Ovis aries: one gene and its partner. The protein of the gene in region 2 interacts with the protein of the main gene of each other region in a biochemical or structural test. Links are inferred from orthologs where the notes say so. Each region holds a gene or a part of one and is shown on either strand. Other genes may lie near its edges.

Region 1 (16,418 bases), on a different chromosome or scaffold from region 2:
GCCAAGACTGCTGGGATCCCAGTGTGATAACAGAAACAGCCCTGCCTCTGGAAACCACTCTCAGTCACACAGCTCTTGGACTTCCTGATGGTCCAATGGTTAAGAATCCACCTGCCAATTCAGGAGACACAGGAACATCTCACTGTCAGGTGCCACAAGTACTGAGCATCAGCCCCCTCCCTACCCCAGAATCACGGCGCGGCTATGGGAAGCCTCATGTCCGCAACAGTGAGTAGCACCCCCGCTCTCTGCAGCTAGAGAAAGCCCCGGCAACAAAGACCCAGTGCAGCCAACATAATAATAATAAATAGATTAGTTATTTTTAAAAAAAAAGAAGAAAAAAACCCAGCACAGTCTGAGGAGAGACACAGCCTTGTTTCAGGGTGCTTCCTATGAGGAGAACAGAAACCCAGCCCTGTTCTTGAAGAGCCACTGTCTGAGGGCAAGATACAGCCCTGCCTCAGAGAGCTCACACTGAAGAAACACAACCCTGTCCTTGAGAACCACAGTAGGCAGGAGATAACAGCCTTCCTTCACAAAACCAGAAAATAAAGGGAGACACAGCCCTCCTTAGGGAGCCCCAGTCTGAGGGAAGGCACAGGGCAAGGCAGAATTCAACAGGGTTTTCTAGGGGCAGGCAACTGCAGTACTGGGGGCCATTGGTAGCAGAGACCCACAAGTGCAGGCCAATGTCTAACGACCTTATTCAGAAGAGAAAAGCCAGAGAGGTATTTTCTCCCAAGCCCCCCAGTACATAAATCCTTGGTCTTCCCAGGGACTTCTGTTTGTCACCTGTGACACCAAGTAGACTAGCAGAATAACAGCAACAGCATGCACGTGACTCCTCACTCTCCCGGTTACCTAACTTCCAGCCACCGGTGGTGTTCATCACCCTTGGGTCCCTAGTCTGTGAGAAGCTATTGCCTTGTGTGCTCAGCTGTATGAGTGGCTGACCCACCACAGAAATGGTTGTTTGGCTCGGGAACTGGGTTGGAAGATCCTTTCATTTGCATCAGCTGATGCCCAATCTCTGGCCCCCCTCTGAGGCTGCTGTCAAGGCCAGAGTTCTGACCAGCACATTACACAGGGGTGAAGACAAGGGGCTTACCCAGGTGTCAAATCCCTGGGACTTTAAGAACATGTATTGTGGTACTTCTCAACACTTAATGGTGAAGGATCAGTTGGTTGCTTTTATTTTTCAAATTGATCTGTCATGGGCCAGTATTTTTGTAACGTGCAACAATGATAAGTTACAGAAAAAAATAAAATTAAATAACCCAAAATGCAAGACCAACTTCTTAATTACTAGACTCAACAGACATTAAATTACATTTCTAAAGTACATTACATGCACTCAATGGAACTTAGCATTTTTACTAATTTGGAATTGTTTTTCATTTCAGTTTTCCTCCACTCAAATCTGGAAAGCATGAGCTGCTCACTAATTAGAGGTAACCATGGTTACCAACTTGTCTTCAAAATACATTTAAGAGTTCCTTTTTTTCCTTGAGTTTAATTCTACAAAAATAATTTGTCAGTGGCTCTTGTTCCCTTTTCAGTTTCATTGAGTGATTTTCCAAACCCTTGAGCCTTTTGGCAGTCATATTAAAAGTTCCAATATTAAGATTTTTAAAAAATCACCCATTCTTAGAATAAACAGTCCGGGGCCCTGAATTATCTAGTTTTGAAACTTCAGCTGACTGGGAGGGTTAACTAGCAGGTTGGCAAAGAAATGGGCCTGAATTCTGCAGATTTCAGTGTGACTTTCTACAGAGAGGAGCTGGCAACCGCAGGAGTGGTTTTTTAAAAAAAAAACTGTCCACTTGAGGGCATTGTAATCTTCTGTAGGGGAGGAATGGATGCCCAGTTCTTCAGTTCACTAAGTTACTAAGTATAAAGAAATTCACTGATACCTGATTTGCTGCTGTGGTGATTAGATGTCCCTTTGAGACTGGCTCCAAGGGCAGCTGCCCAGCTGTCCTGCGCCTTAATTCAGCCAGCTCTGCTGCTCTGTTCTATCCCATCCTTTGATTATTATTAGTATCTGCCATAATTCCTGAAGCACTGTACTGTGATTTTGTGAATCTCCCACTGGAGCTCTTGGTTGCTGTACCTGCCACATCAGCATAGTGCCTGACACAAAAGTGTGCTTCCATACATATTGTTGGGCCAGCGAAGGGCTTATAACAGTACACACAAGGTGATAAAGAGAGCAGTTGAATCCTTTTCAGAATGGAACTTGGAAAAAGATCAAACAATGTGAGTCACTCTGGCTACAGTCCCAAAGTGTTAGGGCAGGAAAGGCTTGAACTCTTGCCAATTCTGCCTGTTTCTATGTGCCCAGATCAGCATGTGAGCCATGGGAATGAAAAGGTAGAAAAGTTGCTAGTCTTGGAGCTTGATTAGATATAATATTCCACTTGTCAGAAACTTCTTGTGCTGTCTTGAGATTTTTCCAAACCAGAAGGCTCTTAGGAGTTATAGTAAAGTATTCAGAATTAAGATAATAAAATAAAATAAGCCACCCAATCTTAGAGAATACCCTGATGGCATGAGTGACTGGGTTTTTCAATTTCATCACATCTTGAGACAATATTTCATCAAGCTCCTAGAGTTCCATTAGAAACTACCAGATCCTGGTGGTCAAAGAGGATGCAGGAGCAGGCCTGGAAGACTGTGTGGGGGACTTTTCTTGAACTTAACATAACCTAGGACTAAAAGTGCAGTCTGGGGCACAGCAAACCCATCTCCAGGAGATATCCCTTAGTTCTGGCTCAAGGAATAAAAAAGGGAATTCCTAATGGCCAGAGAGTATAAATATTTCTTGTTCTTCTTTTCTTCTCTTTCATGCCACAGCCCCCTGGCAAACACATAGGCACAGTGGTAACAGTCAGTCATGAGCCTGGCCACGGCCAAAACTGAGGAAGAGGCAACTGGCTCTTGGATAGGAGTAGTTATGATCTCAAGAGGGTCTCATCAACCCCTATTGCTTTTTTTCACTCACCGTTCTTCTGTTACTCAGACTTGAACATGGGCCCAAATATGAGAGTGTGTGGCAGAACAGTATAACCAGAGCCAAGTTTTTGGGTGGAGGACCAAAAAGGAGAGTCCCAGGAAACTGGAAAGTTCTGGGGAGATTGTAGAGAGGGAGAGAATAGCTCAGGAAGGCAACCCCATATAGTTGTTCCTTCATGAACTACAGGCCTCGACCCCAAGCCATGCATGCTTGGATCTGGTCCTAATTGGCATATCAAAGACTGAGAACTAAAGTAACACGTAGACTACCATCTACTCCCCAGACCGTCACTGGGCAGTGTCCAACTGATATGGAACCAAAATGCAGTGCTCCTTGTAAAGTGAATTAACCACTTTCTTTTCAGTGTCTGTCTCCTTTGGGGCTTCATGTCCTATTGCATCAGGCCACCCAGGTCCCTTTTCTCTGATCATCGACTGCAGGGATTCATCCTTCGGTCCCATACATCAGGAATCTCTCCTTGAACTTTCTGAAGACTAAAGGACCTTTTGCCATTTGTAGACACAGAGAACGAGGAACAGAAGAAAATCACTTTAATAGCATTGTAACACATTAGGACTGGGGATCACAGATAAGGAAAACATTTTGTCGTCCTATTGTACATTTCTGCCAAGGTGTGAGGTTGTGTTGGACAATGATACAGACATATTTTTCACATTGAAAACTTAATAAATAGATACTTTAAATGTCAGACATCAGAGGTGAGTTATGAGTGTGATTGTTTTCTTATTCTGCCTCCTTTGAGTCAGGAGGTTGCTTCCTATCACACTGCTGAAGGCCAGGTCTTCTAGGAGGTGTATTCAAACTCCTCAGCGCTGCGCCGGCCAAAATCCATCCAGCCCATGTAGTCCCGGTCACTTATCCTGTGGCTGGGGTCCAGGCTCTGCAGGTTCTTGATCACAGACATTCGGCCAGAAGGAGCTAGGGGCAGAGAGGAAGGAAACAGGATAATTATATCTAAGAGCATCACTAGTTCCTATTGTAAAGGCAAATAATAGAAAAGACCAGGCAATATGTAACATACACCCTCTTAAAGGTATAAAAGAGGTATCAAAAGAGTGAGATTGCTGGGCCAAAACCTAAGAGAAAAGAAAGACCCATGTCTGTGTAAATGGAGAGAGGGTAGTATTTTCTACCTGTGGGTGTAGTTTGCAATCTGTAAGAATTTAGGTAAATTAATTTATTCTCGCCTTTCATAGCTGAGACCTGCCTAAGTTTTCCTACTGCTCAGGGTGTTTTCCCTTATATAGCAGGATTTCCTCAGTAGAACCCATCTCTAAAGTTTACCCCTTAAGAGCCTTTCCTGGTGGTCAAGTGGTTCAGGCTCCATGCCCTCAAGGTAGGGGGCATGGTTCATTCTCTGGTTGGGGAACTAAGATCCTACATGGTAAAAAAATAAAATTTACCCCTTAATATCCCTGAGCCTACCTAACTCTTGTCAAGGTAATGTGATGACAATATTTTGATGTTAGAATGGCTTTTCTAAAATGGAATCCAATCTCACTGCTAGATAAATGCTGTTTTAAAATTATTAATTTGAAAGCTACCTTCTTTTTCTAAAAAAAAAAAAAAAGGAAAAATGATATTGAGAAAAAGGCACACTGGCAGATTAAAATCTTAGCATCTCAGTAACACTCAAAGAGGAGAAGGCAATGGCACCCCACTCCAGTACTCTTGCCTGGAAAATCCCATGGATGGAGGAGCCTGGTAGGCTGCAGTCCATGGGGTCGCTAAGAGTTGGGCACGACTGAGCAACTTCACTTTCGCTCTTCACTTTCATGCATTGGAGAAGGAAGTGGCAACCCACCCTAGTATTCTTGCCTGGAGAATCCCAGAGACAGAGGAGCCTAGTGGGCTGCCATCTATGGGGTTGCACAGAGTCGGGCAGGACTGAAGCAACTTAGCAGCAGCAGCACTCAAAGAAGGGTGGGCAGAACAGAGGTAGTTTAGTTCAGCCATTTTGACCAACATGCAATCATTGAACCTGAAATGGGCCCACAGGGATAGGAGTTGAGTCCTTTGGAACAGGATGAGTCCGGGTATGATTCATGTTGAGTGGGCAGTGCCATGATGAGGGCATGTGACTGTTCTGGCCCACAGATCATAGGCCCTGGCATCCTGGGGATAAAATCAGTATCATACCTTCTGTTGTACAAACCAAGGGGCAAGAACAGTCCCTCAGGGATCTCACTGGGCAAAGCCCAAGTGGCTTCAAGAGCAGAGGCTCACTCGATGGTTCTTATTTTATTGGGGGCCACTGTGTCCCCACTGCTCACAATGCTGGCATTGAGCCCTTCTGTACAAGGCTGACCTTGCCAACTGCTGCCCAAGCTGCATCAAGTTGAACCACAGCTTATTTATTGATGACACTGCAGAAGTAGGTATCCTGATAATCAAATAAAGCTAGCTAAATTAAAAATCAGAAACAACCCTATGGAGCAATGTCCCCACCCTTTCTTCCTGTGCCCTCTCTTTCCCCTCCCCATTACTTCTCAGCCTTGGGACTAAGCATCACCCCAGCACATTCCAGCTCTTTTGCAGGGGTTGCCAGTCTATGCAGAGGAAATCAGCCTTTGCTGTTTATTTGTTCAACACATTTCAGATGAACTATTAGTCCCTGCATTCAGCAAAACTCTCAGACCCAGTTATCTGTACACAGTCACACCAAAATATGCCTCATCCTCCTGCTTGTTGCTGCTGAATGCCCCCTCCAAGGGATGAGCACCACTGGAAATGCCATCTAATGGAAGCAACATAGCAGCTTCAGTGTGAGCAGCAGCCTCCGTGGTTGCGGTCGGGGGCATCGTGTACAGTATGGAAGCTGTGCCTGTATCACCCAGAATTTCCCCATTCCACACATGGTTCTGTGTATTTACCAGAGTCCTCACTCACTTCCCCACTGCGTACACAGAGCAGGCACTTACAACCAACTCACACAACTGAAGGGCCTGGCTCCTTGAAACTTTAAAACTTGTAATGAGCAGTACAGCTGGGAAGCTGAATGGCTTCCAGACCCTTTGGGGAGGGCAGGACTTGAGTAAATTCCCAGCCCTTATGCTGCCGAGATGTGCTACCCATCTGGGGACTCAGTCTTCCAGAATCCCAGCTTCCACACTGACACAATGAGGTAATAGACCCTACTGCACAGGGTTGGTGTGAGGACAAAGAGAGAAAACACAGATGGAGCACCGGACTGCGCTGGGCTTGGGGCAGGTGTACACTAATAGAATTCCTTCTCTTCAGATCACTGACATCTCCATAGACAGTTCTTAATGATAAACTCTTGAGCTCTCCCCAAAGGGTGCACTATCTTGTTTAGAATCTTTAAGCACGGCATATACTACAGTTGATTAAATATTCACTGTGATCTCAAAATGTATAAAACAAAGAAACTGTATAGATGGAGATACTTATTTCTAGTTCATATTTGTCAAATAGAAGAGAATTATTTTTTTTTTCCAGCTAGCACTGATCCTTGGTGTTGGCAGCTAAAGTTTCAAGTGATGATTCTTCCCATATGGGTTTGTTTGTCACTGCAGGCTGAAGGCAAAGGGCTGAGAAAAGACAGCAGGAAGGCCCTTCCAGCTAAGAGTTGTGGTATGAAGTCACTGTGAAGTGTCAGTTCTGGGGAAATCATTTGGTAACTGGCTTCTTTCCCAGAACAGTTTCTGGAGGATCTTTCCTGAAGGTAGGAAGGGGCTTCCAGATTATGGTCAATGAAAAACCTAGGATATTCAACCCATATCCAAGGACAGATTTTAAACTACTTTCACACAGACAGTCAGCAGGAACCTCCAAATTTTCAGACATTCTCTGTCGTCTGTCTAATATTTCCACATCTTTCAATATAATTAGGAGGAAAGCAAAATAGAAGATGGTAGTTGGGACAATCCCCCAATAAGAGGATGAAATGTAATGCATCGTCTTCTATTTTTTTCCCTTCTGAATTGTCCTGGTCAAAAATGTCCCTTCTCACTTTCCTATGGAATTGTAGGAGACTCTGGAGAGCCAAACCCTCTATTTTCTCCCCATTTCATCAAGCCACAAGTTAAAGTTCAAATCCAGGCCCCAGAACCCCAGCAATTAATGTTAAGAGAGCCTTGTGGGAAAGGAGCCCACCTCCCACCTCTCCCAGCAGTATTTGCTGGTTTATCATCCAGCCATATTGGTCCAATTTAAAACACAGCTTCACCATTAGTGTCACTTTAGATAAAGTTGATAGGAAAAAAAAAATCTGTCCCAGTTCAAATCATGATTTCTAAGGACCCCAGAGTTGAATGAGCCTCCCCCTGAGTCTCATGAAGAGCTAGAAGGAGCCAAGGGGAACCCCACCTCATACCCTCTTTACAGATGAGACAGTCAGGCCCAGGACAGGGACAGGGCTGTCTGTATGCCACTCAGCTACTGAGTTGCTGAATTACTTTATTCCTAGAGAAAGATTTTGATGCTGAGGAAAGTGTGACTTGTTTAGCTCTTGCCGCATTTGGGTCTGTGTCTCCAACAGCAAAGTAAAAATAAACACATCTCTTGCTGGGTCATCATCTTAAGCCGCTGCTCAAAGAGGACTCAAAACTGCTCCTGATTCTTTCTTCCTGCTACATACTTCCATGAAAATTAACACACAGTCACTTCTTGGACTGTTGCTGTCAGCTCTCAAGTATTCTTGCAACTGACCATTGCCTGCTAGAGGGTTTCCAAATGCAGTAGCTGGGCAGCTCCTGGGTCCTTTATATTTACAGCAGAGGGTGTTTATTGGATCTGCAAACTCTTTCTGAGTTAGTAATTCGCTCAGTAATCATCTTTTAATATCTTTACAATATGTTGAACCTAAACAGCAACACAGTGCCAAAAAGTTTAAAGAAAGCCTTCTCTTAATAAGTTAAGTCCTGCCCCCTTCCCTCTCAGCTTGCTACAAAGGAGGTACAGAAAACTGCACTGTCTGGGGCAAGCAGAATCAGAGAAAAGAAAGTTAAAGACCTTTCACCTTATCGTGTTGCCCAAGTAACCCTTCACTCCCCAGGAGTCACCCACCTTCACCAGCCCGATGGCAGAGAAGAGGGTCAGGCCTGGAGGCAGAAGGGAGGGACAGAGAGGCGGCCTGCGTACCTTTCCGAGCCTGCTGGATGTACCTGGCCAGCAGCGCGCCCAGGTGTGCTCTGGACTCGTCGTCCACCCTCGGCACCGCCCTCAGCTGCCTCCGGGGCGCCTCCTCCTCCTGCTGCGCCGGAGGGCCCGTGGGGTCCGCGTGAGGCATCGGCTGCGCCAGGGCGCCCGCCGCCAGGACCGCCATCAGCAAGCACAGGCGCGCGCCGCGGTTCATGGCTGCGGGGAGCAGAGGGAAGGGGACGTGAACGAAAAGGTGGGGCATCCGCGGGCTCTTGAGGAGGGTCGGACACCCAAGGTACAGAGAAGGGGGCTCAGCCCAAAGGCGCGGGGCTCCGGATCCGCCAGGCAGGTGCCAGCACTAGGGAGCCGGTGACCCCAGCATGCGCGTCCGGGCGCACCGCGTTCCTCTTTGGGGTGAACCGCAATCCGGGGCCCGGGAGTGGTGTGGGGGACGGAGAGAGACCCTGTCCTCTGCCCTGTTTAGCAGAAGGAATGTCTTCGGTTTTCCTTTAGTTTGAGGAAGTGTTACAGCGTCGTCTCTCTTCTCCTAACTGGAAAAACAAGAGATTAAAGACAGGTGAAAATTATCCGAAAGGGACGACTCTGTAGGAAAAATAAGAGCCTTGGTTTTAGAAAAGAGGCACCTTACCAGAGAGCTAAGACGCTTCAACCAGGGAAATAAATGGTGAAACACTGAGAAGCACGGCTTGAAATATGAGACCAATACATAAAAGCCGTATTTTTCAAGTTTCCTCAAGGTGCAAATGGGAATTGGCAAGAACAACTATGTGAAACACAGGCAGGCTTTTAAAAAAATCAGAAATCTGCGCTCAGTCCTCCGGCGTCCGCCAAGCACCGCTGCGTTTTAGATCCGCGCAGATGAAACACTGGGATAGTTCTATCCCTCAAACCTTGAGTTTTCCCGCAGCATTCAGAAAATGAATTTAAATTTAAAACCTCTCGGTAGTATATTTGAAAAGATTGCAAAGTACACTGGACCGCTGTGTAACACCTAGCGAATCGCAATTTGCCGGCTAACCCGAGCAAATAGATGCTCCAGCGTTGCCTGCGCTGGAGAACAAATCAAGCGAGTAGAAGTCTGTAAACCAGCTCTATCCACCCAGCCCGCACTGTCCTTTGTGACTTGGAGAAATGTCTTTCGAGCTGTCGGAAAGAAGACACCGTAAACAGTAAAATGAAATGGAAGGGGAACAGAAGTGAAGAATCATTCTTCGAGGACACTTGGATCCCCGAGAGCCGGGAACCTACCTTCGGAATAGGACGCAGCCGGCTTCGCGGTCCAGCCAGAGCAGCGGGGGAGCTGAGCCAAGTTCAAGGTAGGCGGGCAGGAGGCTGCCTCTTAAATAGCCCCGCCTGAGTCGTTGGCCAGTCATCTGTTTACCCAGTACTGACGCAGAGGGTAGCGGCACGTGCTCCGAGGGCGGCCGCCGGGGCGACAATAGATTGAGGTGGCTGCCTGGGGGGGGGGGGGGGGGGGGCAATGGCCCTGTGGAGCCGGGTGGGTGGCGGGGTGGGTGGCGTCAGCCGCGTCTCGGTCGGGGGGACTTCCTCCCCCAGCTCCGTGCACCCCCTCTGCCTTGCCCATTCCAGCGCGAAGCTCCCCGTCTTCAGGGTGGGAGACCTAGGAATGGGACTCTCCTGCGGGATGGAGAAGCCGCCGCGCGCCTACAGTTCGCTTTGGGGACCAGAGGCGCGGGAAAGGAAACCCGGGATAGGATGGGGTGGCACTAGACAGCGCTGGGTGTCAGCAAAGTGTAATTCTGAGATGGTGGAAATGTCGGCCCCTCTTGGAGCATCCCAGGCTGCTCTGGTTTTTAAACTTTGTTCTCAGCCCCTTGATCCCAGGATCCCGAGGGCAAGGGTCCCTGGGTCAGCGAAAGGGCTCCTCCACGGCTGGCTGCGGGTGTCGCGGACTCTGCTTTACGTAGCTGTGAAACGAGGATGAGGCTATTGGGCTTTGCCCGGAGTTTGGGAAAGGGCTGTGTTTTCTTCCAAGCGGAGCTACCTCCTGCCCGCGGCGCCCGCAGCTCCTGTCGCCAAGCGGCACCAGAGAGTGTCCTCAAAAGCCGCTCAATCGCCGTTCCCCTCTGGCATCGGCATCCGCCAGTTCCATCTTTCCCAGCTTTTACACTTGGGCCGGTCCCCGCCGTCTTTGAAATAAAGACCTCGCTCTTGTCACTCACCCCCCTAGTGGGGACAAGGGAGGCGCCGCGGCAGCTGTGCGCCCTTCCCTGCGGGGTCGCGCCCCCGGCCAGTGCGCCATAGGGGTCTACACTCACCTCCGCCCTGAAGCCCTTTGGGTTAGAGTCATCTAGTTAGTGCTCCAGTTCTCCCGGTGCTGCAAAATTACTGACAACCCCATTTCAGCAACCGGGGAGCCAACAGAAGCAGCAACTGGCCAAGGCTTCTCCACAGTTTCCTGGAGTCTCAGCAGGCTGAGACTTGAGGGTAGCCACCCGCCCCTCCCGCCTTTTCCCTTCCTGGAGAAAGATTTGGACCTGATTCTTTCAAATCAGAATCTGTACTCAGCTCCTGGGATGGTGAGACTGTGGTGTTGAAGTGGGTGGGGAGCCTGACACTTGGTGGGGAGATGCCTGTGGTTGCTGTCCCCCTTTTTAAACTCTAGAGGCTGCTGCATTTCTGCAATCTAAAGGCAACATTTTTGAAACAGAGTTGCAGATTAGATGCTTCCCAGTGGTTTTCCCAAGGAGGCTACTGTGTAAGTTCACTTGGTGAAACTAGTTTTATTTGTGACTGTGGTCAAGGCATGTCTGAGAACATGAAGTTGTTATGGAGCATAATCACCTAAGGGGCTTGCTCAAACACCTCCCAGAGTTTCTGATTCAGTAGGTCTGAGGTGGGGCCCAGAAACTTGCCTTTCTAACGATTTCCCTAAGGCTACTGCTGGTGGTGATGGTCCCCTGACCACACTTTGAGAACCACAGCTACAGAATTTCCTTAGGGTAAGCCAGTTACTGAACTCCCTCCCCTCCATCCATTTAGTTAATATTTATTGAACATGTTTCCTCCTGTATTCTCATTTTCTCATGCCTGGTATCTAGGATCATCTCCCTAATAAATCATGTGCCCCCAAGGTTTTGTCTAATTTCAGCATAATCCTCCTGAGGACATCAACTGTCTATCAGACACTGTTGGGACACAATAGGGAGCAAAACAGGCAAAATGCCTGTGTTCGTGGTGCTTCCATTCTAGCCAGGGAGACAGAAAATAAATGCCACGTGATGTGAAAGGTCTCTGCTTTCATCCAAGAAATGGAAAGGGTGGGAACCACATTCAGATGTGTCACTGTGGACAGCAGAGGTGAGTGAAAACTTGTAACTGTTTTCTGATTTGGAATCTAGAAATTTCCATCTAACTGTGCTGAAAATAATTTAGCTGAGATCCCATTCAGAGTTGGAGAGGCATCCCCAACTCAGCCCTTGAAATCAGGGATGTGATAGTTTCCATGCAGGATTTTTTTTAAGCCATGGGAAGTATCTCAAAGACATATGTCCATTTCTCTTTTGTAGAAAACTGAGTGGAATTTCCAGGGACACACTAGAGCCTCCTACTTTATTTTTCACGGAATTTAAACTTGTTACAGTGATCTCCGTTTAAAGGAGGTTCAGTTCAGTTCAGTTCAGTCGCTTAGTCGTGTCCGACTCTTTGCGACCCCATGAATTGCAGAACACCAGGCCTCCCTGTCCATCACCAACTCCCGGAGTTCACTCAGACTCACGCCCATTGAGTCAGTGATGCCATCCAGCCATCTCATCCTCTGTCGTCCCCTTCTCCTCCTGCCCCCAATCCCTCCCAGCATCAGAGTCTTTTCCAAGGAGTCAACACTTCGCATGAGGTGGCCAAAGTACTGGAGTTTCAGCTTTAGCATCATTCCTTCCAAAGAAATCCCAGGGTTGATCTCCTTCAGAATGGACTGGTTGGATCTCCTTGCAGTCCATGGGACTCTCAAAGAGTCTTCTCCAACACCGCAGTTCAAAAGCATCAATCCTTTGTCGCTCAGCCTTCTTCACAGTCCAACTCTCACATCCATACATGACCACTGGAGAAACCATAGCCTTGACTAGATAGACCTTAGTCAGCAAAGTGATGTCTCTGCTTTTGAATATGCTACCTAGGTTGGTCATAACTTTTCTTCCAAGGAGTAAGCGTCTTTTAATATCATGGCTGCTTTCCCCATCTGCAGTGATTTTGGAGCCCCCCAAAAATAAAGTCTGACACTGTTTCCACTGTTTCCCCATCTATTTCCCATGAAGTGATAGGACCGGATGCCATGATCTTCGTTAGGAGATTGTTTACTGTGATTAGAAATGTGCTTGAAGTCTTATGTTTGGGATCTTGAATTTTTTTTTTTTTCTCTTGAACTTGTATTGGAAATGCCATTATTTGTCTTGTAATTTTCCAGAGGCCCACATAGCCAATGTCATCTGCCATTATATGGAGCAATTTAGCAGAAAAGAAAGAAGGAGCTGCGGTGGTGAACTATTTCCTCTTACTAATGATGAGTTCCCTCAGAATCTCTTAAGATGAGGTGCTCACAAAAGCAAGGCTGAGACAACCTGGGTGCAGGGAGATTACTTGGGAGTGATCTCAAGGAAGTAGGAGTAAGGGAGCAGGGAAGAGAGAGAAGGAAATCAAGTGCATGTTAACGAGGGGGATACTGTTGTGGACTCAATCCCACTGAGGTCTCTCTGAGATAACCCAAGGGACACATCTCATAACCAGCACCCCCAAACCTAGAAGGACAACAGCTCTTGAATAAATATTTGTTGACTGAACTTTTTATCTCTCTGAACATCTTATCTGCTAACATGCCAGAGGATAGGAACCATGATTTACTCATCCAATACAAGGATTATCCTGGACACATGCTAAGTGATCAATACATGTCCACCAAGGAAACAACTTTTAGTTCAGTTGACTGGATTGACTAGGTGTATAGTAGTAAGTGAAAAACCCATTTGTTGGCCTCTGCCTGGGTTTTGGGCTCCCAAATAACCACAGGAATTGTTTTTAACACAATCTCTTTTAGCCAGGGATGTAAAAGCCACCACCCCACTCTGGTACTCTTGCCTGGAAAATCCCATGGACAGAGGAGCCTGGTGGGCTGCAGTCCATGGGGTCGCTGAGAGTTGGACACGGCTCAGTGACTTCACTTTCAGTTTTCACTTTCATACATTGGAGAAAGAAATGGCAACCCACTCCAGTGTTCTTGCCTGGAGAATCCCAGGGACGGGGGAGCCTGGTGGGCTGCCGTCTATGGGGTAGCACAGAGTCAGACATGACTGAAGTGACTTAGCAGCAGCAGCAGTAAGAGCCACCAGAAATGAAAGGTCATCTCCTGAATAAGTGGTGGGAAAGAGGAGAGGTCCGCGGCCAGCCCACTGATCCTCACAGGCAGAATGAGCCTGTGCTTTTCAAACCAATCCTGAAAAGCCAGCAGGAATGGCAGTTGTCAGGGAGACCATCCACCAGTGTCTTCAGGTTTGTCTTTAGTGTCATGTTCCTTTGTAGGAGTAGTAAGAGCAGCCTCTATTGTCTATAACCGGGAAAAGTTAACAAACAGGGAGACTTAAATTCTTTCAGGGGAAGTCTGAAGTTTTTGTGGTCCTGCTGATACAGATTCCCTCTGAAGAGGGGCCTCTCACAGCAAGGGACAAGCACACGTCCCTGCAACATCCCAGCCTCCAGCGGAGACATGTCCTGCCTACCACCATGGTTGCTGCACTTCCCCTCCTCTAAATTAATGCCAGAGGACACGGCTGTCGCTGGTCAGCCTCATCAGGAAAGGTTCTTAGTTTTGCCAACTCAAGTGGTTATTAAATTCAATAATAGGCCTAAGTACACATAATTCAAAATTTTATTAATTTAAAGATAGAAAAGGGTATGTCGTTAAAATGAAGTCTCCTGTTCACCCCTGTTCTTCCCCAGAGGCAAGGAGTGCTTCTAGTTTCTAGCGAATTCTTCCATAGAGAATCCATGAACATACAAGCAAATCAAATGTGTCACACACACACACAAATCATTTCCACTTGGAAGCACATAATATACAATGTTCTCTGCTTTGCTTTTTTCATTTAAGATTTGTATTAGAGGTCACTTTGTACTATTGGCATAATTCTACCTCAGTGTCTATAGAACACTCCAATGGATGGATGTGCCTTAATTCATCTAGCCAGTGCCCTACTGATAAAAAGTTAAATAGTTTCCAATATGTTCTAATTATAACTGAGGCTCCTTGAATATATATCATACTGCTCATGCACAGGTTCCTAGAAGTGGAGTTGCTGAAAGAGTATGTACACTTAAAATTTTGGTAAATATTGCCAAGTTACCCTTCAGGCAATTGTTCCAAGCTGTCAAAGACAGCGTATATATCTTTTCTTGTTTATTAATGCTTTGACTCTAGATGCTTGGCCAGCTCCCCAGCTAAGCTCACTACCAGAGAACATTAGTTCTCAGGTGGTAGAGAGCTGACCCTACTAAACCACTGAGTTTAATCTTTGGGTCACCAAAGATTAAATCTGTGGCCTGTGTGTGTAGAGGGCAAAGGGTGGGAGATCCTTCTCAGTGTGACTGACACTGCTCTCTAGGTGACATTTTGGACATTTATGAAGAATTTGGGGGTGAGCAAAATAACAAGTGATGCCTGCTGGCATTTGGTGGGAGGGTGCCAGAAGGCAGAGTGTCTGGCCACCTGCTAGACGGATAAGTACATAATGTTGGATGACCCCCTGGGTATTCACATGTGTGAAAAGATCGTCTCTAGTTATTCAAGACTAGAAGCTAATTTCATGTAACTTAAGTAGGGAGCATTTTGGGACAGTTTTAACATAACTTAACTTTCCAAGAATGTTAAATCCACTAAGGATCATACTTTGTTTTGATGTGATTTTAAGAGTAAATGGCCACCATTCTGAAAACTCATGTTGCCAGCCCCAGTGTTGCTTGTGATGTTTGAGTTCACACCTCTATTGGCCCACAAAATCCTATGTTTATATTATTTAAATTTTATTTCAAGTTATCAAATGTAAAGGGAAAATGTAAAATTCAGTTGCATCCTGGGTTGCTTATTTTAAATCCGCACTTATTCATTCTAAGTAAGCATAAACATCTGACAACTGTCTTCTAGTTAGCTGTGCCTAACTGTTTACATATTGAGATACATATCATTGTATTCTAAATGGCTTTCTTTTTATATTAGAAAATATACTTTATATTATCTTATATACAGAACATTATATTGATTTAAAAATATTGTGTGTAGAAGTGTATTATGGAATTCCCAGGTGGCTTAGTGGTAAAGAATTCACCTGTCAAAGCAGGTTCGATCCCTGGGTCGGGAAGATCCCCTAGAGGAGGACACGGCAACACATTCCAGTATTCTTGCTGGGGGAATCCCATGGACAGAGGAACCTGATGGGCTACAGTCTATGGGGTCCCAAAGAGCCGACTAAGCACCTGAGCATGCATGCATACACATAGAGGTATATTATAAGAGTTATACATGGTGAAGTGAAGTCTCTCAGTCATGTCCGACTCTTTGCAGGCTCCTACCAGGCTCCTCAGGCGACAGTCCATGGGGTTTTTCAGGCAAGAGTACTGGAGTGGGTTGCCATTTCCTTCTCCAGGGAATATTCCCAACCCAGGAATCGAACCTGGGTCTCCTGCATTGCAGGTAGACGCTGTACCATCTGAGCCACAGGGAAGCCCTATTCATAGTATATTAGGCCAATAAAGGGAGAATGTGAAATATCTATGATTTCAGAGCAGGTCAGATGGGGTTGGGAATCCAAGTCTTCAGAACATGGATGTTTCAGGCTTAATCCTGCTCCACTTGTTTCTTACTCTCCTAACTGAATCTGGGGAAACACTGGGAGCAGGGATTGAAGGCAGGGACTCCAGAAAGATGGGGTGGACTGTGTAGAGGGCAGAGAGTGAGGATATGGTTGCCAAAAAAAGAGATGATGCACGAACAGCACTGAATACACAGTTCTGCTTCCATCTCACCATGCTGCTGACCCTGGGGCCTGACGATACCATTGCATCTGCACTAGCTTCTCTCTGACAAGCCTGAGACCTGAGGGTGGAAAGGGAGCTGCCAAGTTTCAGTACAGAGGTGGGCAGAGCCAGCTGAGGTGCTCTTGAGGTTCAGGGTTTTGGGAACAGCAAGTTTGGGGCTACTTTGCCTAGGGATGATGCTGAGCAATGTGTGAAGGACATGTTGATAAGAAAGGGA
Region 2 (15,745 bases):
ACCTGGGTTCAGATTCTAACTCCACCACTTCCTAACAACATCTCTTAGCAGACTCTGATCCTCCTCTTGGATTCTGGGTTCTGTCCCCCTCATTTAGGGATGGTTTTCTATCTGCAGAGGGCTGTGTTTCCAGGTACAAATCCTTCACCCTGGTCTGGAAACTATCTCAATGCAATCTTCCTTATGCTATGTATCTCTACAATTACAAGCACTGACTGGGATCTTTGTTCCTCCACCAAGGATTGAACTCAGACAGTGAAACCAGTGAAAGCACTGAGTCCTAACCACTGGACCACCAGGGAATTCCCCCATAAGCACTTTTGAGCATTCTTTTCTTAATTCTCAAAATACCAAAGTGGATTATGATTCTGATGCAAATGAACTATAATGTGCATTTTTTTACCGCACCACCAAGCAATGCCCTCATACCGACCGGGTGTCCTTTAATCAACCCAATTCAGATATTATCTACCTGGAGATAGTGTCAGATCCCACAGATTAAGAGCTCAGTCCTACAAGACTACCCCCTCAAGCCCCACCCCTGTCCAGATCCAGTTTATCACTTGTGCTTCTGGCCAGCTAGTTATAGATTGGAGATATCCCCACCCTTGACTTGGGTTCCATTACTTTGCTAGAGCAGTTCCTAGAACTCAGAGAAACATTTTACTTACTAGATATTGGTTTATTATAAAGGGATATGACTCAGGAACAGCCAATGGATGAGATGCATAGGGCAAGATACATGAGAAGGGGCACAGAGCTCCTCTGCCAATGAGACACTCTCCCCAAATCTCCCTGTGTTCCCCAACCTGTCAGTCGCTGTCCTTTTGAGATTTTATGGAAGCTTCTTACATCGGCACAGTTGATTAAATCGTTGGCTTTTAGTGACTGATCTCAATCTCTAGACGCTTTTCCTTCCTCGGGGGTCAGGGAGTGGGTCTGAATTTTGCGAGTGCATGCACAGTAACTAAGTCGTGTTCAACTCTTTGTGACACCATGGACTATAGCCTGCCAGGTTCCTCTGTCCATGGGATTTCCCAGACAAGAATACTGGAGTGGGTTGCCATTTCCTCCTCCAGGGGATCTTCTCAACCCAGGGATCAAACCTTCATCTCTTATATTGACTCAGACTCTGATTACTTTGTTGATTTCTGTTAGTTTCTCTGACAAACCAGCTTCCATCCTTAGGTGATCTAGGGATTTTCCAAAAGTGACTACATTAACATAATAAAAGACACCTTATGGGCTCTCAGTTCAGTTCAGTTCAGTTCATTTCAGTCGCTCAGTTGTGTCCGACTCTTTGCGACCCCATGAATTGCAGCAGGTCAGACCTCCCTGTCCATCACCAACTCCCGGAGTTCACTCAGACTCAAGTCCATTGAGTCAGTGATGCCATCCAGCCATCTCATCCTCTGTCGTCCCCTTCTCCTCCTGCCCCCAATCCCTCCCAGCATCATGGGCTCTCAACACTTAGGAAATTCCAAGGAGCTCTGTGCCAGGAATAGGACAAAGATTGGCTAGATATATACATTAATATATATTTCTTATAAATCATAATATTGCAGAAGATAATGTAATTCTTTGCATTTTACAGGTGAGACTGAGATTCATTGAGATAAGTTGCACAAAATCACACAACTTTTAAAAGGCAGGACCACTGGTACCCAGATCTTCAAGGTTTGAAGGAAGGCAAAACAGCATAATGGAAGGAAACAAAGCTTTAGAGGCAACCTGAGCTCAGTTCCTGTCTCCCTTCTAGCTGCAGGGCCTCATGTAACTCCCTTAAGCTTTCTCAGCTTCACTTTCCTCTTCTGTCAAGTGAAGAGAAATGTTCTGGAGAAGAGTTTTGAGAATGAGATAAATTAGTATATATAAACTCCTGTCACACAGAATCAAGAAGCATTGGATTTCACCCCTACTCCATCCATCACTCCACCTTCTAGGCCCAGGCTCAGTCATCTTCCCATGACATCATTCTGTTCCCTGCCCAGGATGGGAAATCAGGCTGGAACATAAATAACTATGCTAGAAGAGAGAAAGCAGTAAGTACTCTAGGAGCAGACAAGCTTTGTGAGGATGACCAAGCAGGATTTCATGGAGACAGTGATATTAAAATTTGTACCTGAAATGTTTTGTCAGATTTCCAGAGATGGGAAATAGATGGAAGGACCCCAAATTCCACATCGGGTAACTAGATAGGGCACAGGGTGACGGATGTGTAAGTATTCTGTAGAAGACTGCATAGTGTGGGAAATGGCATTATTCAGGCTGTGCCTATGTGCTAGGTTCTAGGGTAGCCCTGGACCACCATACTTGAGCTCATATTCCAGGCTTAAAGGCTTGGAGTATGAGCTCTCCATGAGCTCATGAGCTATGAGTATCAGCCCTCCCTTACTGAGCTCCCCATCACCATCTGATGGACATTAGGAACCTGGGCCCAAGCTGGAGGGACTGACAGTGGGGGACCTTCTTCAAGGCTGTATCTCCTTCAGAAAGGATGGTGGGAATGAGGATCAGGGAGTGCCGTGAAGGCTGTGGGCAAACCTACTCCCACCCCCTGGAAAAGCTGGCATGAGTGAGCAAGGCCCAATATCTTGCTTTCCACAACTCCGACCAGCTGGGATTCTATTTTTAACCAGTACTGTCTTAGTTGACAGCTTGGAACGCCTTCTCCCTCCTTTTCTTCCTTCCTCCTGCCTCTTGCAGCCGAGAGCCCTGCAGAGAGGATGGATAGGAGCAGCTCAGAACTGGTAAACAGACCACTCTCCTTTCTCACTGCCCTTCACTTCATCCAGTGTTTGCTCAATGTCGTTAGTGGGTGGATTTTAGAGGTATTATTGGCTGTGAAGCTAATGGAGCTTACATCTCAGGAATCCTCTCTTGCAGCGATCTCTTCCAAGGCCCTGGTCAGTGTCCTAGCAATTTTGTAGCTGTAATTTTGTATTTTTTTTTTTTCCTTAAAAAAGGGACACCCAATTTTATAAGCTCCAGGCTCACAAAGTTTGGATCGACACCAGAGGGTCTGGCTTCTCTTCCACCTCCAGCTCAGTGTCTACTTCAATAAGATTATTTCTGTCTTGCTTTAATTTCTTGTATGATCTTGAGCCGCTTTCTTTCTTGTGCTGGGTCGCAGTTTCTCTACCTGTTACAAGATGAAGTGTCAAGGAGCCCTCTCCTAGCATACCACACCTGTCTATTTCTGTGTTCCCTCGGTGAGATCATCTGTTCTTCCTGGTTTGTCACTGTATGTGTGGAGGGGTGATTTGCTGTCTCTGCCTCTCTCTCGGGCTGAATCAGTCTTAGAGTCAACAGGGAGACTGATTTCCGGGACTTTCATTCAGGTTCAGCCCCCTACCTCCTTTCCCACCGCACTTCTCCTTGTTGCTGGCCAGTAAAAGGTGCTTCCACAGGTAACAGTGCATTAAAAGGCCCAACTCTTTAATTCTGTATATCTATTATGTTCTGACCCCATATTATTACAAATACACAGTGAATAAACTGACCCTTAACATATGGTGCTTCCTTTTTTCATTAAAATTTTAATAAGCATCTATTAATACAGTACCCTAACAAGGGGACCACTTTAGAACAATGTGCTTAGGAATGATGGTGCGTCATGCATATCCCACCCCATCCTCATTCCCAGCTTCATGACTGTGGTGTGAGGTGGGTCCAGGTTGACCACTTAGAGGGAATTCACACAGCCTCATCTAGACTTAGGCCATGGGCTTTTTGGCAGGGGGTCATGCACAGGAGTGAGCAGCAGGGGGAGGGACCTGACAGAGAAGTCTCCCAAATCCCATGCCCCCTCACGTGCCCCAGAAAAGTCCAAAAAGGAAATTGAGGGGGAAACCAAGTCATTTATTATTTCTTGAAAAAGTCGGGTGAGGGATTATTTAACTGGAAAGGAATGAAGGGACTTCTTAGTGCAAAACAGCTCGTTGGTCCGGGGAGTGTGAGATTAGGCAGGTTGGTGTTTGCAGCACTGATTGGGGAAGGGCACTGTGAGGTCAAACTATGGGCACAGTGGAGCATCTCAGGAGTCATTTCTGTGCCAGGCTCCAGAGCCCTGAAAGATTCAATGCCCCTGCTGTACGTGTGAGAGGCAGGTCAGCCCCTGTCGGTTTCCACAGTGTGGAGACAGTCCATGGCTAGGGACGCTGGGTCTGTCCAAGGTCAGTGCCCTGGCTCTGTGTGCCAGGCTCAGTCCCTCACTGAGTGCCTCCTTTTCTGTGTGAGGGTCTGGTTTGTTTTCTTAGTGTCAGGTAAGCCACCCTCTCCTGGCCATTGGGGTTAGTCAGTCTCTCGTGTCAGCTGCGTCTCTTGTGTGTTTGGACGGGGCTGAGCTGGTAGGAATCCGTCTGTCCTGCCTCAGCCCCGCTCCCGCTCCACCCCTCAGCCAGGCCCCAGCGTGCTGATGGTGGTATAGCTCAGCCTGGACAGTGAGGCGATGGACGGGGTGGGAGGGTCCTCGTCCGGCAGAGGTCTGGGGCGAGCCCGCGGAGGCCGAGGACAGCAGCGGGTGCAGGTGTCAAGGCAGGCCTGGCGAAAGCGACGGTGCATGAAGCAGTAGACCAGGGGGTTGACACAGGCAGAGGCGTAGCTTAGCAAGTGGATGAAGGAGATGGGCGCACCCGAGAGTGCACGATGTGCGCCGGGGCCATCGAAGGCGCGCCACGTGTTGGCGCTGTACACCGGCAACCAACACAGGAAAAAAAGCACAACGATCACCAGTAACATCCGCACCACGCGCTTCTTAGCCAGCAGCTTGGCCTGGGCAGGCCGGGTGCCGGATCCTGGGCCAGGTGTGGGCGCGGTCAGGGCAGACATCTCCAGTGCAGGCCGGGAGCGCGGAAGCTGCACATAACAGCCGTCGCCGTCCTCACCCGCCAGTCGGGTCTCAGACCGGCAACGTCCGTTCGCCTGGGCAGGACCTGAGCACAAACCGTGGGCTGAATCCCCCAAATCGCACACATTTCCGCCCCACCCACTTTATGTCCCGCCCCTTCCCAAAGTCCCGCCCCCTCCTGGATTTCACACACCTTGTCCGGTGCCACCGGGCAGCCCTCCCTGACTTCCGACCCGGCTCTGGCTCTCGCTGTCACTGTCACCGTCAAAGCGAAGCCCTAAGTAGAGCTCACGGGAGATAAGCCCGTAGGCCACCGCCATAACCACCCCAGGCACGAAAAACAAGAGCAGGAGCAGCAGTACCGACCTGGAGACAGAGCGCAGACCAGTCAGTGGGTCCCTGTCCAGCTATAATCACTGATGGAGGAAGACTGAAGAACTGTGTTTCTAGGGCTGGTGACCACGTCCCAGAGGTAGAAGTAGGATTAGGGGTACAGCTGGGAAGGGCTAGAGAACTGGGGAGGAGCCCCGAATGGGGATCTCAGGGCGGTGGGTCGTGATAATTGTTGGAGCAAGATTCTGGGTAATGCTTGTGAGTGATGGAGATAAGAAAAGGGAATTCTCAGGAATGGGTAATAGGCACCCTCACCAGGTTTGGCGGACCCGCGCACTGGGCCACCGGTGCATGCATTGCAAGACACGAGGCCCTGCTGGCTGCACGGCAGTGTACACTGGATAGGGCACCATGAGCAGTCCGGACAGCATCCACGTGGCTACGATTACACGAGCCGCGTGGGAGCGCGTCTGCCACACGCGCGCCTGCAGTGGTCGGCAGATGGCGCTGTACCGCTCCAGGGCGATGGCCACGAGGCTTAGCGTGGACACGCTCACAGACACCCCTAGGAGGGAAGAGGAAAGGGTTACCTAGGAAACTTGCGCTACACACTCCCCAGTGTGACTTCCACACTCCAGGTGAAGACAGACCCCTCTACATGCGGCAAGGACTTTAGAAGAGGAGAGGGCCAAGGGAGGCAGGGCGATTGTTTACCTACCCATGAAGTAGGAAACCGCCTTGCAGACGACTGTGCCGAAGATAAATGTGCCCATGAGATTGGGCAGGAGGGTGAAGGGCATGCAAGCCACAGCCAGCAGGAGGTCGCTGACTGCCAGTGAGAGCAGAAAGGCATTGGTGACGGTCCTCAGACGGCGGCTCAGCCCCAGGACCACGATGATGAGCACATTTCCTCCAACACTCATCAGAAAGATCACAGCGTAGAGGGTGACCCTAATGGCCAGCTCCAATTCTGGGTAGGAAAGAGGTGAGGTGGCAGGAGGGGGTCTGGCCCCCGCTCAGCTGGGCTATCCAGTCTCACTTATTCCCAACTCTTCAAGCCCCACTACCCAGCCAGATCCCCTGCTTCTCAAATCCTCCCCCTCCCCCACTGGCCCAGGATCCACTCAGTAAATGGTGAACTTGAATCTGTTACCCTTTTAACCTCTGCTGCTGCTGCTAAGTCGCTTCAGTCGTGTCTGACTCTGTGCGACCCCATAGACCGCAGCCCACCAGGCTCCACCGTCCCTGGGATTCTCCAGGCAAGAATACTGGAGTGGGTTGCCACTTCATTCTCCAATGCATGAAAGTGAAAAGTGAAAGTGAAGTCGCTCAGTCGTGTCTGACTCTTCGAGACCCCATGGAATGCAGCCTACCAGGCTCCTCTGTTCATGGGATTTTCCAGGCAAGAGTACTGGAGTGGGGTGCCATTGCCTTCTCCGTTTAACCTCTAGAAGCCTAGTTAAAGTGGCCTAACTCTACCCTTCCTTAAGAAACCCTGTCTGTTCTCAAGGTTTGCTCCAAATCCTTCCTTCTCTTTGCAGCCAAACTTTTTGTAGAGATTATTTGCATCTTTTCATCCACTCCTCAATCTATTACGATTCAGTGACCTCTTCCCCATTACTGTTCATAAGTGTTCATTACACTTCTTTTCATGATTACTAAGCTTTAACTACCAAATCCAAAGGTCCTTTCTCAGCCTATTCTACTTGATGGCCTCCTGGTAGCATTCAACCCTGTTGACTGCTATCTTTTGAGACACAGGTCTGATCATGTCTTTATTGTCTTAAAAAGCAACAATAATCACTAAATAAACAAGCAAAAAGACCCTTTACCTACTCTCAACTGTCTTCATCTTGTCATCAAGATTCTCCCAGAACTGGCCTTTTCTTCCTCTCACCTCATCCCTGCAATGCACTCATTTAAGCCACCAGATGACTCAGTTTCTGGGAGGCATCAGGTGCACTCATGACTCTCCTTTGCTCACATTGGTTTATCAGCCTAAACTGCTCTTTCACTGCGCCCCTACCACTATTAATACCCTCCTCCCCCCACTGAAAGTGAAAGTGAAGTCGCTCAGTCGTGTCTGACTTTTTGGGACCCCATGGACTGTAGCCTACCAGGCTCCTCCGTCCATGGGATTTTCCAGGCAAGAATACTGGAGTGGGTTGCCATTTCCTTCTCCAGGGGATCTTCCCCACCCAGGGATTGAAACCGGGTCTCCCGCATTATAGGCAGGTGCTTTACTGTCTGAGCCACCAGGGAAGGACTCTCAATAATAAACTTGTTTTCTGTTATCTAGTGAACTCCTACTTACTATTGTCTTTCAAGACTCGGACTGACTGCTCCCTCCTCTATAAGGCCTCTCTGGGCACCTTATTTGGAGCTAATCTCCCCTTCTTCTGACCCATGCATGTTCCCTACACACCTGTTAGAACGGCCTTTACTTTCTGCCTTGTATTTTAATTATCTATAAACATTCCCTCTCACTCCACAAGCATTTCAGAGGATTATCTTTATACTAGGCACTGGGGACAAAGAGATGAACATGACAAATGCTCTGAGAGCTCTCATCTGAGAGCTCACATTCTAGAAGTCTAGAGGGAAACTCAGACGTATAAATAGATATCTGTCACACAGTGTGATAAGAAGTGAGGTTGAAGAATGACAGAATGCTCTGGGAGCTCACAGGAAGGACACGTAGCACTGCTGGGCAGGACAAAGGGCTGACCCCGTTCACTTGTGTCATTGCCTGTTGGGGGGAACGGTTCATCACTGAGCTGCCATATCACAACCAAGACAAAACTGAATTGAATTAAACTGGACCCAGTCACCTGTGCCCATGGCCTCAGTGTGAGGGAGACTGGAGGTTGGAAGGAAAGAGGGCAGGGACAGAGCCTACCAGGTTGGGGGAGGGAAGGGCCCAGAGCTGCATCACTCTCCATAGCCCTGTACATTGGCTGACTTTCGCCTTAATTCCCAAATTAAACTGTTTTTTTCCCCATATCAGTAGTTATGTACTTATCCAGAAGTTGTTGCAGACTTCAAGGAAGTGCTATTTACAAGAAACCTCCTAACTGAAATGTCTGCAATGCAGGAGACACAGGAGATGCGGGTTCGATTCCTGGGTTGGGAAGATTCCCTGGAGAAGGAAATAGCAACGCAGTCCAGTATTCTTGACTGAAAAATCCCATGCTCAGAGGAACCTGGCAGGCTAGAGTCCATGGGGTCGCAAAAAGTCAGACACGACTGAGCGACTAAGCAGTTTATAGTACCCTCACTGAGTCCAGGAATGACAGACATTACTTCCTCAGAGCACACAGCAAGTAAGGAGCCGAATCGGAGCAGAATCTTGTCTCTACATTTCCAAAAGGCTTTGTCTCCTGCTGCTCCCTCACTTCTCTGTCATACTCTACCCTGGCATTTCTTACCCTGTTATTATGGTCATGTTCTGCCTCTGCCACTGGACTATGAGCTCTTGAGGGCAGGGGCAATGCCCATCTTGTTCTTCAGCATGTCCCTAGCATTTGGCATAATGCTTCCTGCACAGGAGGTGTTAACACCTGCTTGCTAATGAATCTTAACTGTATCTCTGTCACTGTCCATATAAATGCATCTGCTCTGTTTCTCCTCATCCATCCTTCATCTCTGTGCTTCTAAAGCTCCAGCATGCACTCTCCTTGCTGCCTCACTGCCTCTGTTTCTTTGGAGACCCATGTTGGAGAATCTTTTAGGTGGTACAGGGGAAGGGGTCAATAACAGGCTGTGATTTGGGATGTGTTACTTTTACTATTATACGCAAACTGTCTATGTCTCATTTAGAAGCTGGGCTCCCTCTCTGCAGGGGAGGCTTATGGAAGGTTTGCTTATGTGTGACAATTTGAGGTGTGTGTGTATATGTGTGTGTATAGGGGGAAATAACATTTGGGAGGGGGGATCTCTGTCAGAGAGGTCCTTGGACCCAAGAATATAGAACAGGTGGTCTACCTTGCATTTTTTTGTGTCTCCTTTCAGTCCACTGCCCCTCTACACCCTTCTCCTCTCCTCTCCTCCCATCCCTTATCTCTCTAGTCCTATCATCTCTCTCACATCCTCCTCTGTCCTCTGGATGTTTCTCTTCAACTAGATTTTTCTTTTTTTTGGCTGCACTGTGGAGCCCCAGCAGTGCCAGCACTGAGTCCTAACCGCTGGACCACCAGGAGCTCCCTTTCTACTAGTTCTTGATTCAATAATCACACCTAAATCTGGATGGCACTCTAAGTTGTGAAAAGCACACTTCTCATTTGTTCATCTGGGGTACAGCCATCAGTGCCTTGACAGTCTACCTGTGGGTGTCATTCTGCTGGGGATGAGTGTGTGCTAAATCGTCAGTCATGTGGGACTCTTTGTGACTCTATGGACTGTAGGCCACCAGGCTCCTCTGTCCATGGGATTCTCCAGGCAAGAACACTGGTGTGGGTTGCCATGCCCTCACCCAGAGGATCTTCCTGACCCAGGGATTGAACCCGAGTCTCTTACGTCTTCTACATTGGCAGGTGGCTTGTTTACCACTGTGCCACGCGAGCAGATCAGAAGTCAGACCAGGGGACTCGGAAGACTGGAACAGTCCAGTTCTGCTTCTGGTGTCTAGAGCATCTGCATTTGTTCCGTCCACATGAGGACAGAGAAGTGTGGGTACAAAAATCCAGATGATTTCACATAAGACAAGAACAGGCTTTTCTAAGAAATAATTCCACAGAACAGTGAAGCTGCTGATGCCTCAGATCCTGCCGTTCACTGGTGTGTTGGGTTTGGTTACCCATCACACGGACATCAAAGTAGTACCCGTGCTTCTGTGGTGAGCATGGATATCATCCAGCTGATTGTGAATGGGAGTGGAGTAAGCCTTGGGAATACTTGAGTATTAGAGATGATATCTGGATGGGTGAGATTAACACATATTTCTGTGTGCAATATCTGGAGAAGGGTAACAGCTATGTGTCTATAAGTAATATCTGATTGAGTGTGGGTTACTTTTAAGTTTAGGTAATATCTGAGGAAGTGTTGTAACATTTGAATAAGCGAGGGTCTACAGATAACACCTTGTTTGTAGGTAACGTCTACAGGAAGCATGGGTTACATTCAGAGGTCTGTGTGTGAATGAGGGAAATATCCAGCTGATGGTGGTCCTAGACGACTGAGCAGAAGTAATATGAAAGTGTATGTGGGCAATATTTAAGTGAGTGTACATATGAAATGCTAACAGATTAGGATGTTAACCTGATTGAGTAAAATAACAGCATCTGAATGACCACAGGTAGTATTTGAGTCTTTGCAGGTATTATCTGAATATGTAACAGTTGTATCCAGGTAACAGATATATAGGTAATATATCTATATATAGGTAGACTTTATAGGTGATACCTGGAGATGGGTTCCTTAAGTAAGCATGAATAGTATTTGATTATATGTGGATAATAAAAAAAATGAAAGCATGTATATTTGATGGATGAGTAACATCGAAATGACAATGGGCAATATTAAAGTAAGTGTGGGTGGCGTCTGTTTTTCTGTGGGTACCTTCTTTTTTTCCCATTCTATTTATTTTGTAAATTGCAGTGTAATTGCTTTACAAGGCTTTGTTGGTTTCTGCTGTACAACAACATGAATTAGCTGTGTGTATAAGCATGTCCTCTCCCCCTGGAGCCTCCTTCCCACCCCTCCTCCTTCCGCCTGTCTAGGTCATCACAGAGCACTGAGCTGAGCTCCCTGGGCTATACCGTAGCCTCCCACTAGCTATCTGTTTTGCAAATGGTAATGCATATATCTCAATGCTATTCTCGCAATTTGTCCCACCCTCTCCTTCCCCTCTGTGTCCACAAGTCCATCCTGTGTGCAGTTTCTGAGTGAACACTGGAAACATTTAAGTGTATGTGGATTATATCAGAATAATGTGCGTAACAGCCACGTTTCTCCTCATAACACTGGGTGAGCCTGGGTGAGATGTGTCTGTAGGGGTAATAGCTGAGTGAGTGTGGCTGACAGTCTCTGACTGTGGGTATCACATGCAGGTGTGTGTGGGCAGCAGCATCTAGATGGCTTGGGCTCTGAATCACTGCACATTCTGCTTGCTCAAGGTCCCTTCCTCTATCAACTAGCCCCTCTGTCTTCTGCACTCAGCCTCCCTCTCTCTAGGCCCATCCCCCACCAACATTTAAAAACTGGTTTTTTCTCTGCAACACGTACACACTCAAAAGACAAGCTATGTGTGCACGTGCATGTACACACACACACACACACACACACTTCCTCAACCTCATGTTATTTCTAGAACTATCCTGTTTTTTCTTTGTCTCCCTCTCTCTCTTCAAAACATATGGAAGTTTTTATCTGCATGCCTTGGTTCACTTCTCATAACCCCTTCTCCATGGCCCAAACTTCAACTGACCGTAGTCAGTAATAACACCGTAACCCTAACCCCACAGCTCCTCCTAAGGTGTCTTTTCCATTGAATCCGAAGGATGTTATTCTGACCTTATCTGACTTATATTGGCAGCATGTGATATTCTGTTTGAAATTTTCCTTTTTTTTTTTTTTCTTCCTTGCCTTCTTGTCTCTCTAATGGTTTCGTCTAGATCTCCTTCATGGACTCCTCTTCTTCTGCTTGGCTTTTAAAACTTGGTCTTCCTCAAGGTCCTATCCCAGGACCTCTTTTTTTTTTTTTTTTTTTAAATCTGACACAATCTTTGTATGATTTAATCTAGTTTCATGGCTTTCATTACCTCCTCTAGACAAACAAAAACCTTTCAAGTCTTCCTTTCCAGCTTGTACCGCCCAGATCCTTGGATTCAACAGCTTACTGGGCAACTCCACCTGGATATTTCACTGGCATTTAAACTCAGTGGGTTCCAAATTGAATGGATAATCTCCTCTTTCAAATGTTTCTGCTTCCTTATTATCCTCAATATACAGCACAACTACCCAGTTGTCTAAGCCAGAAACCTAGATGTCGCCCCTTGACCTCTTCTTCCCTCTCCGTTTCTAATAAATCATTAAGTTCGGTGGGTTTCACTTCCTGAAGTATCTCCCCAATCCATCCAGTTCTCTCCATCTCCACTGCCAGTAGCTCAGCCTAAGCCAGTATCCTGTTTCACCAGGGCCAGCGTAACACAGTAGCCTTCAAAGGGATGCCCCTCTGCCCATCTCTTGTCCTCCAATCCGCCCTCTTTACTACAGAACTAATCCTGGCAGCACGACTTCACCTTCCAGCAGTTCCCATTGACCTTGGGATAAAATCCATACTCCTTAGACAGTTCCACACATTTTTCTGGAGTCTCTCTAGGCTGGCCTTCATCCTGAGTGGTCACCATTCCTCTCTTATGGTACATGTTCCAGGCACTCAGAAACTGATACACTGGACGAAAGTGCCATGGATTTAAACTCTGGGTGTTTATACATACTGTTCCTCTGCTTGAGATGATTTTTGCCTTTTGTGCCCCTTCATCTGGCTGACTTTCCCTCAGGTTTTTTCTTCTTAAATTTTTCATTGGAGGATAATTGTTTCACAGTATTGTGCTGTTTTCTGCCATGAATCAATATGAATCAGCCACATGTATACAATATGCCCCTCCTTCTTGAACTTCCCTCCCATCTCCCACCCCTCCCACTCCTCTAGGTTGTCACAGAGTACTTCCCTCAGCATTTTAATTTCTTTTTCAATTTACCCTTTACCTCCTCAGAAGGTCAAATTTGATTCCCAAGGCTAAGCTAGGCTAGAGGTGCTCCTCATCTATGTTCCCACATCCCTCTCAAGGCACGTCCCTCGTTGTCTGGCAAATCCCTGCTTACTTGTCTGTCTCTCCGACTGAACTGTGAGCTCCTTGAAATAAGAACCGTGTCAGTTTTGTTTTACTCCTGTCCCTAGTGTCTAGCACAATCTCTGATTCAATAAATATTTGTTGAGTGAAAGTATCCAAGTGTAAGAATGAGAGAGTGTATAACAGTGAGCTGAGAAAGCCTTTGATATTTTATGGAGGTAAATAAATCCTTCAATTACAATTTATTCCCACTTTCCCTTCTAGAGCTTGGAATAATTTCCTTCTGCTTAATGCTGTTCCCTCTCCTGGAATCCCACTTATTACTTTTCTGCCTCCTGAACTCCAGCTTCAAGGTTCCCTCTGTGAAGTTTTCAGATCTCATCTCCTTTGGGTGCCCACAATTTGGTCCCTCTTATGGGAATTCTAAATGCTGACTGTGGTTTCTCCCATTGGTTTTTGTCTCTTTCCTGCATTGAAGATGAGAGTCCAGACTGGCTCTAGTTTAGTCCTGTGTGTCTGGCACCTAGCCTAGGGACTATAGTAGCAGCTGTCTAGTAACCACTTAAGGAAAGAAAAGGTATGGGAAGGGGAAATATGACTGGAGCTGGGTCATCAAGAAAATGTAGATGTGGAGTGAAGGGAGGAGTGAAAGTCATTTCAGGGACTGGGTGAGTGACAGCAGCCTGCGGGTGGGAGGGAAAGGTGGCCCAAGGGGCGGGATGATGAATGGGGCAGCCAGGCTCTAGAAGGGTGAAACCTAAGGAAAGGCAGGTTGGAGAGGGGGCTTGGAAGGGACCTAGAGACATTACTTGGAGACACCAAAAGAGAGAGGGTATAGAGCCTTGAGAACTCCAGCTTGGGAGGCAAGGAGATTTGAGGAAGAGGGCAAAGGAGATCAGCCCCCAACCCAACATCCAGCCTAATTCAGGTTAGGGGATCTCTTGGGGAAGGCAAGGAGTTGGGGCGGGCAACACAGGAGACTGTAATTGTTTGTAACTGACTGTAACTTCCCATTCAGGTCTTCCAGACCGCCTCTGCCAGCAGCCAGCCCCCTTCATCCCCCCAGTCTTGCCTTTCTTCCTTCCTTTCCTTTCCCATTGAGGCTGCCTGAACTGACTGCAAGAGGAAAGGAGACTTGGAAGGGATTGGCCAGAGGAGGTCCTTGCCTTTCCACTGTCTCTGTCTAGCAGTGGGCTGTGTGTTGGTGAAGGTGATGCGTTTTGGGGGTGACCAAGAGCTCTGGGGGTGGCGAGGGGACCAGGGTGTGAGGGGACTGTGACCAGGTAGTGTGAAGCTGTGATGGAGTTCTATGAGCTGTGGAGGACAGATGTGTCAGGGGAGCTGTCTGGGGACGGAGGGAGTACTATGAAGGGATGGTGTGGGCGTTTGAGGAGGCTATGGGGGCCTCCGTGAGTGTTGTGGGGTGCAGTGAGAAGGAGCTCGCGGAGGGGGCTTAGGGAGGCACCCACCTCGTGTCCCGGCTCCGCGGATGCGTGGGGGCTCACAGCTGAGGTTGCCGGTGCCGCTGCCGTTGAGGAGGGGGCCCCCCGGGCGGCACAGGGAAGCTCCCGGCCCGGGTCCGGATCCCAGCACGCTCCGGTTTGGCTTCAGCAGCTCCATGGCCACGGCTCAGCCGCCGCCTCCCAGCGCTCGCCCGGGCGAGCTCCCGCTGCGGCTCCACCTGCTCCCGCCGCGATTCCGGCTGAGGCTCGCGCCCCGCCTGGTTCCCGCCCCCAACCTTGGCCCCTGTCCCTCCGCTCCTCCTCTGCGCGCCCCGCCTCTGCTCGCCTCCCTCCCAAGCTCGGGACCGCCTCTGTCCAGCCAGGTGACTCTCCGTCCCGCTCTCCTGCTCCTGACTTACCCGCGCCCCTCCGCCCCTCGCCCGGGGGCTGTCCTGCCTCCCGCCCAGGGGGCCTGTCCGCACCCCACCCCTCAGATTTCTCCCTTTTTCTCTTAGAGATTTCCTTCCCGCCCAGTCCCCTTCACCAGCGTCCCGGTTCCAGGGAATTCTCAGGAGCGTGTGTATCTGTGTGTGTGGGCGAGGTTTGGGGAGAGGTTAGTAGTGGATGGAGAGGTTGCGAGGAGGGAGGCTGGGTAAGAAGGCCGCGTTAAGGGGACAGGGTAGGGCGCGGCTGCCGCGGGGTTTAGCATCTTTTCCTGGTGGGTCGGGGAACCAGGAGGTGGCCACCGAGACGCGGGGATCACTGGCTGCGGCGCAGACGCCTTAGCCCGCGGGAAGCGCCACGGTACCCTACTATGCCGCAGTGGCCGCAGTGACCGCGACACCATCGCTGGTCGTTCCCTGCAGCTCTTCGCCTCGGGGCAGGGGCAGCCCCTGCTTCTGTTCGCCGCACCCTCACCTCCTACATCAGGCCCAACACACAGGCTTCCACGCAAAGCGCCCAAGGAACCCTCCCCAGCGGGCAACGATGGGAATGGGGCAGCATTCCCGCCCCGCTGGGGAAAAGGGCTGCCTGGAGGAAGAGTGACTTGGGGATCGAGGGGCGCCCGGGGTAGCGGCGAGAACTCCCCGGGATAAACAGGAGTGAGGTGGGGTGAAGGTGGGGTATGGTTCGGTTCCCAGCCCAGCGCAGGCTTAACCCAGGAGGAGGCGGCGGGCTTTCTCTGTGGTCTCCAGGCAGCGCCCACCCTCACCCGACGCACTGAAGCTCCCTGTTTGTTCTCGGCGCAGGTGTAGCAGCCGGCGTAGGGCGTCAGGTTCCCACGGTGGGGCGGGGGGGGGGGGGGCTTGGGGGCTGGAACGGGAGCG

The links.
Region 1: the proteins of CCKBR (region 2) and CCK form a complex in vitro, tested with the Homo sapiens proteins (3 studies listed by BioGRID). The link is inferred for Ovis aries from reciprocal best matches to the Homo sapiens genes CCKBR and CCK.

The regions. Positions count from the first base shown.
Region 1 is NC_056072.1:14,563,265-14,579,682, forward strand, and holds CCK (cholecystokinin), read right to left. Parts: upstream 9,475-16,418; 5' UTR 9,410-9,474; intron 8,357-9,409; 5' UTR 8,355-8,356; coding exon 8,141-8,354; intron 3,956-8,140; coding exon 3,822-3,955; 3' UTR 3,551-3,821; downstream 1-3,550. UniProt on the Homo sapiens protein: This peptide hormone induces gall bladder contraction and the release of pancreatic enzymes in the gut. Its function in the brain is not clear.
Region 2 is NC_056068.1:46,502,025-46,517,769, forward strand, and holds CCKBR (gastrin/cholecystokinin type B receptor), read right to left. Parts: upstream 14,689-15,745; 5' UTR 14,596-14,688; coding exon 14,445-14,595; intron 6,153-14,444; coding exon 5,901-6,152; intron 5,748-5,900; coding exon 5,498-5,747; intron 5,216-5,497; coding exon 5,043-5,215; intron 4,935-5,042; coding exon 4,396-4,934; 3' UTR 3,520-4,395; downstream 1-3,519. UniProt on the Homo sapiens protein: Receptor for gastrin and cholecystokinin. The CCK-B receptors occur throughout the central nervous system where they modulate anxiety, analgesia, arousal, and neuroleptic activity.